Daphnia pulex: one gene and its partners. The protein of the gene in region 3 purifies or fractionates together with the protein of the main gene of each other region. This does not show direct contact. Links are inferred from orthologs where the notes say so. Each region holds a gene or a part of one and is shown on either strand. Other genes may lie near its edges.

Region 1 (3,752 bases), on a different chromosome or scaffold from region 3:
GTTGTCAATTTAATGTCAACATTGTTATTCGACATTTAAAGAAATACAATTTACCTGTCGACTTCGCTGTATTCCATTTTTTCCATGTAATAATTCCTCTTGTGGGCTTTGAATTCCAGCTGAAATTGCTTGTCTTCGTCGGCCGACGTGTACTCGTCATCGTCGGAAACGTAACTTTCTCCTTCCTCATCATTGGTTTCCTCGTCAATATCAGGTTCCGTTTCTTCTCCGCTTTCCGTGATACAAGCTGAGGCGTCGACAAGCTTGTCAACAACAATCTCATCAGAATCGGCGCTATCTTCTCTCAAGAGATCGTCAACTTCAGCAGCCTTGGCAAGCAAAAAGCTGGCAGTATCAGAGGGTCGTACAGTAGGCGGTTTTTTTTCAAACTCGTACTAAAAATAGAAAAAAGGAATGCAATCGAAGATGCTAAAATTAATCTAAGATGCGGCTACCTCGACTAGTTTCTTGCGACCGTGTCGACTCTCCAGCCATTTGACATCAGCGAAGGTGTCATTAAAATTTTCGTAGTCTATGAGCGCTAGACGTTCCATAAACTTTTCGAACCGTGGCAAGTTCAGCTGACCGTTCTCGTTAATATACCCATCCAGAGTGGGTAGAACTTCCATGTAAGCCGAGTAGAGTAGCGGTAATGCGCCTTTGTTGATATGGAAATGTGGAAGATTAGGAATGAAATCGTTTCCAACCAAAAATCCCATCAAGACCTACAAGGAAAATTTCACTTAAATTATGCGTGAATTTTTTTAAATGGGTTTAAACTATAGCTTACCCAGTCATCAATAATATGCTCCAAGTCGTAGGGAAATTTCAATTTAGGCTTCACAGAGGCAAATTCAAGATCCAAATATTCACGGAATAGTGACAAATGCAGTAAATGAAATGTAGTCTCCTCAGGAGTCGTAATCCTCTTTTCATTTTTCTTTCCACCAAATCTAACCTATTTCGGTGCAACAACAAAAAATTAGTTCTCGACTCGTTTTAAAACAAAAAGCAGACCTTCGTACTTCTTCACGGAGCAAGGAGAAATATGGTTCGTGAGAGCACAAACCCAACATCATGAGATCAGCATCTAACCCATAAAGACAGTGACGAGTCTCGGCGTTGTAGTCTGGTTGACTTCTTTGAAATCGAATAAACTCCATAATCTTGTGCTCACCTTCTCCAGGAACCTGTGAAAAGTGAGTTGAGCAAGATTTCATGTTGTGTAAATGGTTGACTAAATTACCTGATGTCCAGACAAAATGACTTGCGTATTTTGCCACAGAGGATCAGTAGATACTTTATTGGTGACAAAAAATTGCAACTGTTTTTGCAGATTGTCCATGAATTCAGTTCCAGGAGTGATGCAATTGGAGTCAAATCTTTTCTCTTCTGGCAAAACCTCACCCTAAATTAGATCAACTTGTTAAAACATTGTTCATAGATGATTGATCAATTTATATACCTTTCTCAGAGCTTCTTTTTCTTTATCCTCAGCTTCCTTAGCTGAGCGGAACCTTCTACCACGCTGCTGGTTCATTTTGGCACGAGGGGCAACTCCATCAATTGCCATGAAGAAGACCTTTTGGGGTCTAATGAGGCGAAACAGGACCTGCATGAAAATAAAGTTTAACAGGTTGTCACACAAAACTACTGTCAGTAACTTACCTCCAAATAGTGAAATATGTCAGAAACAATTTTTTCTTCAGAGATTCTGAAGTGAACATCTTCGTCGTTGGGGTGGGAGCAGTTGTGAATAATTCCATTCATGTCCAGGTATAAATTGTCAAATTCAGGTATCTAATCATTCAGAAATTTATGAAATACAACACATTTATATTGCTAATTTAAATCTTAAGCATACCTGATATTCTTTTACTGTTTCACTTAGGCAAGGATAGCGTTCGCTGATCCACCGGTAAAACTTGGGGACACCCATATTGCAAATTTGTAAGAAACGACTGAGAAATTAATATGTCAATCAACACAATGCAATCTTTATAACTTTATATATCTCGGACAAGTTCTCGTAGTGAGTTTTACGGCGGCTATAAGTGATGAGCTACGAGCCTACGATATGAGCTTTTATTTAGCATACAACCATACAAACACCGAGACAATGCAAAACCAGCCAAAAGCGACATTGCAACATTTTCTCATAGGATTCCGACCGGTTATTTATTTGTTTATTTTTTAAGCTCTTCTTTTTTATTTTACCGTTAGATAAAATAATAAAAAAAAAGTTCTTTGATTAGAAGATATTCCGAATTTTGCAGTGAAATTGAAAACGCATCAAGAATGTAAAATGTCATTTTCTAAAATCTATTGCGCTGCATCAGCAAATGAGAATGACCCTCGACTTTATTTACAATCGTTTCTTCTATTTTGATATTAAAAATGGGATGATCCGATAGGAATTGGCAGTGAGTTTGAAATAATCGGAATATTTATGCTAAGCTCAGCCTTCCAGCAGCGACAATGTCTTCAAATGTCAAAATAATAACATAGTGACAATGAGTTTTGGCTGTGACGTTTTTGTTCCGGGTCCTAGGGGGTTGGGGAAGGGAAAAAAATCCAGAATGGCGTCGACTGCTTTACCTTAACTTTCGTATGGAATGGATGGATGTGTTGGGTTGGCCGTGCAAAAGTTTGATGCCTGAGAGAGAATCTGGCTGTAAATGGTTGAATGTGATGAACTCTAGAGTCAGGTTTTGTAATTAGAGGGTGTGCAAAGTGTGGAATTGAGAGTGTTGTGTGTGTGTTTCTTTCCGAGTGTAAAAAAAAAATCGGCTTCTTCTCTCCCCCCCCCCCTCCTTCCTGGTCCCAGTTGTGTACAGCTAGAGTCGGCGTCGATGGAAACGATAGCATTCATTCCCCGTTTGCGATGATCATATGCCCGTACGATTGGTTGTTGTAAAAGTCGTGAGTATCTCGTCAGTTTATTTAGTCGCCCGAAAATGAGCTGCAGCTACATTCAAGTTGCTGAGGATGAGACTGAGGAGCCCATAGAATTACCCACTGAGGATGACAGTGCGCTATTGCTCAGCACCTTGGCTGCCCAATTTCCAGGTGTTTCGGGCCTCAAGTACAGAGCCCCAGAATCTCGCTCAATGAGAGGTGTCAGACTTCTAGAAGGAAGGTTCCAGCCGCCAGAGGATGGCTGGGGGAACCACGTCTACATATGTGTTTTCCCCAAAGGTAATGATGCATGTCAAACTTTGTTTGGTTTTTCAACTAGACTAAGACGGTTTCTTGTGTGCATTTCAAAACAGAAAACAAACGAAAGTCAGATGACCATCCAGAAAACTCCACAGCCAAAACCAAACGGATGGAAATGAGGCTCAAGTGCTCTGACCTCATTGTGCTTGGATTGCCATGGAAAACATCCGAGCAGGACTTGAGGGTGTATTTTGAAAACTTTGGTGAACTTTTGATGGCACAGGTACGATTCAAGACCACTCCTGTAAACAAAAAGAGTTCACTCTCTTACCCAATGTTTACATGTTGACAGGTCAAGAAGGATGCAAAAACTGGCCAGAGCAAAGGTTTCGGCTTCATACGATTCGCCAATTACGATTCTCAAGTCCGCGTCCTTTCTCAGCGGCACCTTATCGACGGCCGATGGTGTGACGTGAAAATTCCCAACTCGAAAGCGGTGAGATCTCATTCTCGCCTTTAATTCAATTCCGGACGAAATCTGACTGACTTTGTCCCTTCATTAAAACAGGGTGGCACCCCGCAGGTCCCGTGCA
Region 2 (3,752 bases), on a different chromosome or scaffold from region 3:
CACTTCGGGCTCTAAGTCCTTTGGCTTCTCTCATTTCTCGACGCTCTTCGAATGTTCGTCCGCCTCCTCCACGTCGATAAGAAACAGCGTTCGCCTTACTGTTATTGCTATTGTTGCTGTTACCACCGCCGCGACGTTCGTTGCCTCCAGTCATTCCAATTCCTCTTTCACCTTCTCTCCAATTGGATTGGGAAGATTGCTTTGGGGCAGTCTCTCCCTGGGCCTTGGGCTCCTGTTTGCCATCCGATAATGCGGGGAATTCATCCTTTTTGGGCATTTCTTGGCGCTGCGTGCGCGGACGGGAATCGGGATTGCGTTCAAATCCAGAGCCACGTTCTGAGGGACCACCTCTTGAGGCAACACCACCACGTCCGCGAGGCCGAGAATAAGCATCTTCATCTTCCCATGTACGATCGTACTTGTTTGGGCCACGACCATAACGTCTGCGACGGCGCGCCCTGTAAAAATAGATTCCCCAGACGGTTAGTAAAAACAAGTGCTTGCTAACTCAATAGACGTGCATTATACCTCGGAGCTCCTTCTTCCTGGCGAATGTCGTATCCATAGAGATCAACCAACTCTTGATCACTCTTGGGCACTTGCTGATTTGGGTCAAACATATCATGACCCCAACGATCGATGGCTTCACTTCTCGTCTTCTTCGGCTTTTCCACCTCTACTCCGGCTACAGGCTCTTCACTGCAAAAATGTTAAAAAATAATATTATTTTAAATGAAACAAGTTAAAGGGGAAACTTGTTATAATTACGCAGCTGCCTCTTCAACTTCTTCACGATTTCGGTCATCGTGTTCATAAAAGCCACCTCTTTTTGGAATATATTGAGGGTTTCGACGGTCTTCATCATCATCTAACGGCTTGGCTGGAGCATCTTCGTCGTCACTTTCTTCTCCATCGCCTTCTTCCCGTTCACCTTCTACAACCTCTTCTTCTTCATGTTCTCCTTCAACTTCTTCGCCTTCTTCATCTTCAACTAGCTCACCTTCTTCGTTTTCACCTTCAACTATCTCACCTTCTTCGTCTTTACTGCTTTCAGGTTGTTTTTCTTCCACATGAGACTCTTCTTGCACTTCCTCTGTTGCTCCAACTGGTGTTTCCACCTCTTTGTTGCTCTCTACTTGAATTTCCTTGGTGGCATTTGAATTGTCAGCAGTCACTACTGTGTCTTCTACCTTAGCTTCCTCTTCGACTGTTTTAGTTTCTACTGCTGACTGAGATTCATGGGCTGTGACAGGTTTTTCTTCTCCAACTTCCTCGTTTGGTTCAGTAGCTTCACAATTTTGATTTGAGTTTTTGGAATCTTCGGGTACCAGCTTTTCTTCTTTAGGGGTTTCTGGTTGTATCTCTGGTTTTTCCTCTTTCTTGCTGTTCTCAACATGTTCAGTGACAGCTGGAGCTTCTTCCGCTTTACTAGGCTTTTCTATTTCTGTTTCGACTTTCGGGGTGGATTCTGAAGCAGCAACATTGACTTCTGCTGATGGCTTTTCAACTGCAACTTGGATTGTTGCTGAGGTGTCCTGCTTAGCCACAGCAAGATCTTTTTTTGCTTTTTCAACTTCATCCCTAGCTCTAGCCGATTCCTCTCTTGCTTTGTTAAGCTCTTCTCTGGCCTTGGCCAACCGATTTTTGGTTTCTTCTGAATCTCTTGTGGCAGACGTGATCACCTCTGCAGAAGCTTTGGGGGCATCTGGAATCGTCTTGTCTTCTGGTGTCTCCTCAGTGGGTTGACTGGCAACTGCAACGTCATCTGTCACCGCTTTTGATTCAGCCTAAACAGACAATGGGAAATATTATTGGACATTGTTTTGGTTGTCAAATTAACACAACTATTTTCACCTGTGGATTGTCACCGCTGTTAGTGCTTTGCTCAGCCGAGTCGGCATCTGCCACACTGGTTACACCACGCCTGCTGTCGTCGTCGGCCATGTTTTCCGGTTGAATTGTTTGTTTATACTGAAAGCCCCACCCAAATCCTAAGAGTTGAGCACTAAATATAGTGAAATTTTTCTACAGTCATAAGTAATATAGCTTTAAAAAGTAATTGCTTGACGAAATAGATTAGAAAGTGTAGATTACAGATGAAAGTCGCCTAAAAGTAATACGGGGCTGGGAAAAACATTGCCAGATCGACCTTACAACACAATCACTGGCTTGTTATAGAAAATCAAGGTGCGGAGGACTGCGGACATTCGGAGCATACCAACAACCAACCCAAGTTGTTGGGTGGTTGGCCCTTTTCAGAAAAAAACAAAAAAGTAAATATTTTACCTTTCTTTTTTTGTATCCTCTTTCGTCGATAGCTGTAGGCTGATAACGCTATCGTTGCCTCGCAGTGTTTCTCTCCTTATTTAGGTTATGTTATTTACTCGGAGTCGGAGCGTATAAACATGTTAATTAAAGTACTTTCAATTAAATTTCATACTTATGAATATAGCCGGATTTATTATAGTGTTATATGTGTTCTTAACCTTCAGTACAGAATAACAGTACCAATAACTGTTTGGCAATTCCGGTGGCTTACCGGATATTGTTTCAAAGTAAAATAACAGACAAGAGTCGGGGGAAAAAAGAACGTTGAACCCCTTTACTTACTGGAAACTATTAGTCTATTAACCACTACATCACACACAGAATTTGTGTTATTACGTAATGCTGTTCCACATTTCAATCACGTTTTTGTCACGTCGCGATCACGTTCCTTCCAAGTCCGCTTGACTACATTTGAATTGATTATTTTTTATTCAGTTCAAGTATAGCGGTACTAGAAACATACCACGGTGACGAGGAAAAATATTTTTTAATTGACATTGGGAATAAATGTAAAACAGTAAAAAAAAAAATAGTTCAGTTTTAAAAATGTTTGAATAACCTAAGCTGTATTTTATTTCGACTTGAATCCACCCGGATACTCGTCGTTACAAACAAAAATCCTTTACACCATATTTTCAAAGGTCAAAATATTTAGCATCTTGCGGTCAAAGTGTAATGAGTCTTGCTTATGTCATGAATTGATAAAAAATATTTTCTGATTCAAATCCTATATGTCCTTGTGGTAAAGTATAAAAGCTATGTTACGTTCATTCTTTAACCGGTAACAGTCAGAATTATAAATATTCTCCTTACCGTTCACTGCCAAAGCCATGATGAAGCTCTCTATTATCGCCCTTTTTGCTCTGGCAGTTTGTCACGGATCTAGCATTGACAACCAAGCGCGCGGACCAATCCTCTGGCAAGATGATTTTGAATTTCTTGACACAAACAAATGGAAGCACCTAATTACAGCATGGCGAGGGGGCAACAGTGAATTCCAATATTACGACAATCTACCCGAAAACAGGTATTATTTTCAAATTGAATTTCAAAATGGAAATAACTCATTTCAATTTAAAGTTACGTTCGAGATGGGATCCTATACATCAAGCCAACATTGACAGCGGATCGTTTTGGCGAGGCTTTTCTGTACAATGGCACACTTGATTTGTATAAGGAAGGCTGCAATGTGGACATCGATGGCGGTTGCTATGTGTAATTATTATCCCTGAGGGTAGTACTTGTACTACCAGAAGGCATTAAAGTAAATGCGGGTGTCTGGGTGTGTAGGAGGGGGAGGGATGTGGGGGGAGTGTACGCTGTTCTGGGCCAGGCTTCCAGAACCTTTAATTCAGAATCAGAATAAATTTATAGAAATCTAAACTACTGCATCGATTTTCTTCAAACTTTTTGTGTAAACTTAC
Region 3 (3,752 bases):
TTGCTCCTAGGACGACAGGGACCATGCATTCAGGTTCAGTAGCTTGCATTGATTCATCGATCAAGATAGATGCAAACTTAATGCGAGCCAAGCGAACATCACCAGCACCAACACAAGTGCACGCTAATACATCTGCTGCTTCGAGTAGCTCTCGTTCTGCTTGTCGCTTTAACATGCGGTATCGCTTTTCATCTCCCTGTGAAAGCTCACCGACTTCCTCCTTAAGCTGGACCAGCTTTCGCAACTCTGAAGCTCTATAATAGAAGTTAACTTTAGCCCCACGATGACACATTTTCGCAAAGTAAATTCTTACCCTTCAAGACATCGAACTTGATTATGCAAGGCCAAGAACGAGACGGGTGAATCAATGGCCTCTCTGGATTTCGCGCACAAACGGACCACTTTCAGACCAGTTCGATGAATCTTTTCAGTCAATTGGTCAACAGCAATGTTGGACGGAGCGCAAACTAATACTGGCCCTGATCCTAGTTTAGCCAAATGGTACACGATGGTGGCCGATGTAACCGTTTTCCCGGTACCAGGAGGTCCTTGAATTAATGTCAATGGACGTTGAACTGCTTGTTTTACAGCAAAAACCTGTAAAGCGTAACATTATGAGATAAGCAATGAATGTTCTATGTTCTATCAAGTAACAACTAAATTTTATACCTGAGATCGATTCAGCTCAGGCAAGTCAGGAGCAGAGAAATGTTTAGGGAGATGTAGGCGGAATACGACATCTTCAACCTCGTGACCGAGCAAACGATGATAAATGTAAGCTGAAACGCTACTTTCGTCAACTGCAAATTTCCGCAGGGCCGATTGCATCCTGAAAGACATGTTTCTTAGTCACTAGATCTCTTTGAAATACGAGCTCATCGGATGTTACCTATCAAAAGACGTTGATTTCCAGACAAAATCCACGACGAAATTTGTGGAACATTCTGTAGGAGCTCCGTTTGAATTCTTTAATTCAATTCCGACTTCTTCGCCTAAAATATAGTTATTTATATATTATATTATCATTATTATTACTATTATATATTAGACTGACTGTAGTTGTCTGGAAGTTTAATCACGTGCCCCAAACCAGTCCACGGTTTGTGTAGTTCCCCAAGGTAACGCAATCTTAATTCGTCACCATGCATCAGTTTCATATCTGAATTAACGAAAAATATGAGAAGGGACACTAGTGAACTATAAATATTAGGCATTACCGCTATCTGTCTTTTGAAGACTAAAGTAAGCGACAGTCTTTTTATTAAGACCGACATCCCAGCGAACGTGAACGTTGTCTTGAGTTTGGGCTTCTTTAACTCGTCGGTCGTAGTCTGCTTCAAGTTTCACTAGCGGACCAAAAATATTCTGATATTGATAGCCATCCTCATATCGCAGCAATACGTGCTGAGGTTCTTCGTCAACGCCAGGACGTTCCAGGTCTTCAAAACTAGCCTCAGGTTTCTCTTTCCACATCTCTTCCAAACGGTTCAATTGCTGGGCCGTCAATTGACGAGCTCTCATCTGTTCGGCCTCTGAAGGGCTTCGAACAAGCCAACTGAGGAAACAACGATCAGCTATAAGTGGTTTCCATTGTTCAATGTCCCTATTAGCAAGAAGAAGTTAGTAGAAAACCACACATGACAAACAGCACAGTAAATTTAACTAACCAGTTCATGTCTTTCAATGATGACTGAGCTGCACAAGGTTGGCGACACAGCAGCACAACAACTGAATCTGCTTTAGCAGGAATGAACCCCAAAACAAAAACATTTCTGACTCCACAAGAATAGCACTCCAAAACTGTTTCACCCAACGGTCCATCACGATGCAATGTAACCTCCTGAAAAATTAAGAGTTTGATTATAAACAAGGATTAAGATTTATATTTTTAAAATATTTTTACCTTGTGTTTGGCTCGTACAAGATGATTAACAATGTGAGAGCCAGAAGTATTACCTTTGCCATTGCAAAACCATTTCTTGCAAATATTACACATTACAACACAACCAGGATCATGGATGCCGCAATACTTGCATGCATGTGGTGGCAAATCTTTGCTGTAATAGCCCTCTTCATCTTCTTCCTCAAACTGGAGATCGTTCAAATTTTTCATTGCAGTAGCAAGTTGAGAATCAATCGTGTCCAGCCCATTCGCCTGAAAATGACCACAAATTACAGAAATGTTTTCAAAGTTTCACCAGGCAGGATTTCTTACCTGATGTTTTCCCATTGATTTGTGAAGGCTGGCATGATCAATTTGTGAAGCCTGGGTTTGACTCGGCAAAGTAAAATCGCGAAAATCGAAATCAGTTCCCTGAGTGTCTGCCCCAAGTAAATCATTTTCCTCGGTGTCGAGAAACGTGAGCGTTTGCGAATTGGGCCCAAAAGTGTCCACACTCATTTTGCCAAATGGTATAGCAATTAATGACGTCAATTACAATCTCTTACGGAACGAAACTCGCATGTGTGTTTTCACGGCTGTGCGAGTTTTCCCTTTTCCTTTAGTGCGATCGAAGCGCCATCTCTCGGCTTGATGGTTGATGCAACCGCCCTCTTGCGCAATCTTTTGAAAAATGTAATGAAATACCAGTTGTGTTGCACATTAGATAGGCACAGTGGCACACAAACAAACACACTTAGATCTAAGCTAAATAACAACGCTTTATAGATAAAGATTTTCGGGATCGCCAGATTATGTGCTCCTATGGTACTTTTTGTGCCCAGTCACAAATTATTATTGTTCACATTCGTGATTTAAATATTGCTTGCAGGTTATAGTTACATTGTTATACAGAAAAGAATTAATGAAGTAGAAACAGGTCTTAAACCACGATTCAGATAATAATTGAGTCACAGAATTAGGAAGCCAGTGGTTTCAGAGAAAAAGACATTTCATTTCTCGTAGACATATAGGGCTGTTCGACATCTTTTTTAACATTTGTTGCCATCGTGGCAACGCAGCAACTCATGTATTTTTGTCTGCTACGAGTGACTTGTGTTTGTTCTGCGAAATATGAATTTTTTTGAAAAATAGTGATAGAAAAGGGGGTTGTTTTGAAGTTGTGATGTGTTTTATTTATATATTAGTTCGTTATAGTGTTAGTGTTTAACTATGTCACTGTCTAATTATGCCAGTGGACTTAGTATTGAGGCCAAAACACGTTATTTGGGAAAGTTATTTGTGCAGACAACAATTTCAAGAGAAAAACATTCCACGAATCGTGCATCAAGTCGCAAACTAATCCCCCAAAAAGAATAACAAAGCTTTGGAAGTATGACACTTGCAAGAAAGCTGCTCGTGCCGTAGCAGCCGCAGCGGCAAAAGCAAAGAAAAATAACTTACCGGTCGTTCCTAGTAACAGTCAAGTTCAGAGAACAGCACTTTCCAATATAACCTCAATCAGTAGGCCCTAGTGAGCGAAAAGATACAATTTGTGTACCTTCCTTTGTAAAAAAGAAAATCTCCATTTGTGAAAATGTTGTGTTTGATTAAATTATTACGAAGAAAATGGTAATATGTTTGTGCCCCTGTTAACCAAGGTTAATACATCAAGTATTTATTGAAAATTTTTGGTTTATTATGACAATTATTCACCTAAACACACTACAGTAAGGGTACAACAGATGAACACGAAAACTGAAGTTGTTAGTGATGAATCACCGGAAGTAAATTCGACGTCCCTGATGGATTGACTTGAATTATTTAATGCAGCTGAAAATTATAAGTAATGAACCAAAATATTACTTTCATT

Evidence for each region.
Region 1: the proteins of regulator of nonsense transcripts 1-like (region 3) and 5'-3' exoribonuclease 1-like purify together in Homo sapiens (affinity purification with western blotting; 4 studies listed by BioGRID and IntAct, with this or other methods). This does not show direct contact. The link is inferred for Daphnia pulex from reciprocal best matches to the Homo sapiens genes UPF1 and XRN1.
Region 2: the proteins of regulator of nonsense transcripts 1-like (region 3) and protein CASC3-like purify together in Homo sapiens (co-immunoprecipitation; 5 studies listed by BioGRID and IntAct, with this or other methods). This does not show direct contact. The link is inferred for Daphnia pulex from reciprocal best matches to the Homo sapiens genes UPF1 and CASC3.

What each region holds. Positions count from the first base shown.
Region 1 is NC_060026.1:2,432,302-2,436,053, forward strand, and holds the start of 5'-3' exoribonuclease 1-like, read right to left. Parts: upstream 2,146-3,752; 5' UTR 1,940-2,145; coding exon 1,865-1,939; intron 1,801-1,864; coding exon 1,669-1,800; intron 1,613-1,668; coding exon 1,466-1,612; intron 1,409-1,465; coding exon 1,247-1,408; intron 1,191-1,246; coding exon 1,026-1,190; intron 959-1,025; coding exon 791-958; intron 726-790; coding exon 456-725; intron 396-455; coding exon 55-395; intron 1-54. Other genes in the region: uncharacterized RNA-binding protein C660.15-like, read left to right, coding at 2,958-3,198, 3,273-3,442, 3,512-3,655, 3,728-3,752. UniProt on the Homo sapiens protein: Major 5'-3' exoribonuclease involved in mRNA decay. Required for the 5'-3'-processing of the G4 tetraplex-containing DNA and RNA substrates. The kinetic of hydrolysis is faster for G4 RNA tetraplex than for G4 DNA tetraplex and monomeric RNA tetraplex.
Region 2 is NC_060026.1:13,506,722-13,510,473, reverse strand, and holds the start of protein CASC3-like, read right to left. Parts: upstream 2,675-3,752; 5' UTR 2,287-2,674; intron 2,271-2,286; exon of another isoform or gene 1,992-2,270; 5' UTR 1,945-1,991; coding exon 1,855-1,944; intron 1,788-1,854; coding exon 769-1,787; intron 700-768; coding exon 529-699; intron 459-528; coding exon 1-458. Other genes in the region: beta-1,3-glucan-binding protein-like, read left to right, coding at 3,159-3,355, 3,409-3,543. UniProt on the Homo sapiens protein: Required for pre-mRNA splicing as component of the spliceosome. Core component of the splicing-dependent multiprotein exon junction complex (EJC) deposited at splice junctions on mRNAs.
Region 3 is NC_060017.1:7,856,037-7,859,788, forward strand, and holds the start of regulator of nonsense transcripts 1-like, read right to left. Parts: upstream 2,581-3,752; 5' UTR 2,402-2,580; coding exon 2,216-2,401; intron 2,156-2,215; coding exon 1,904-2,155; intron 1,841-1,903; coding exon 1,668-1,840; intron 1,604-1,667; coding exon 1,218-1,603; intron 1,160-1,217; coding exon 1,055-1,159; intron 993-1,054; coding exon 890-992; intron 830-889; coding exon 670-829; intron 598-669; coding exon 314-597; intron 255-313; coding exon 1-254. Other genes in the region: uncharacterized protein LOC124197441, read right to left, coding at 3,588-3,712. UniProt on the Homo sapiens protein: RNA-dependent helicase required for nonsense-mediated decay (NMD) of aberrant mRNAs containing premature stop codons and modulates the expression level of normal mRNAs.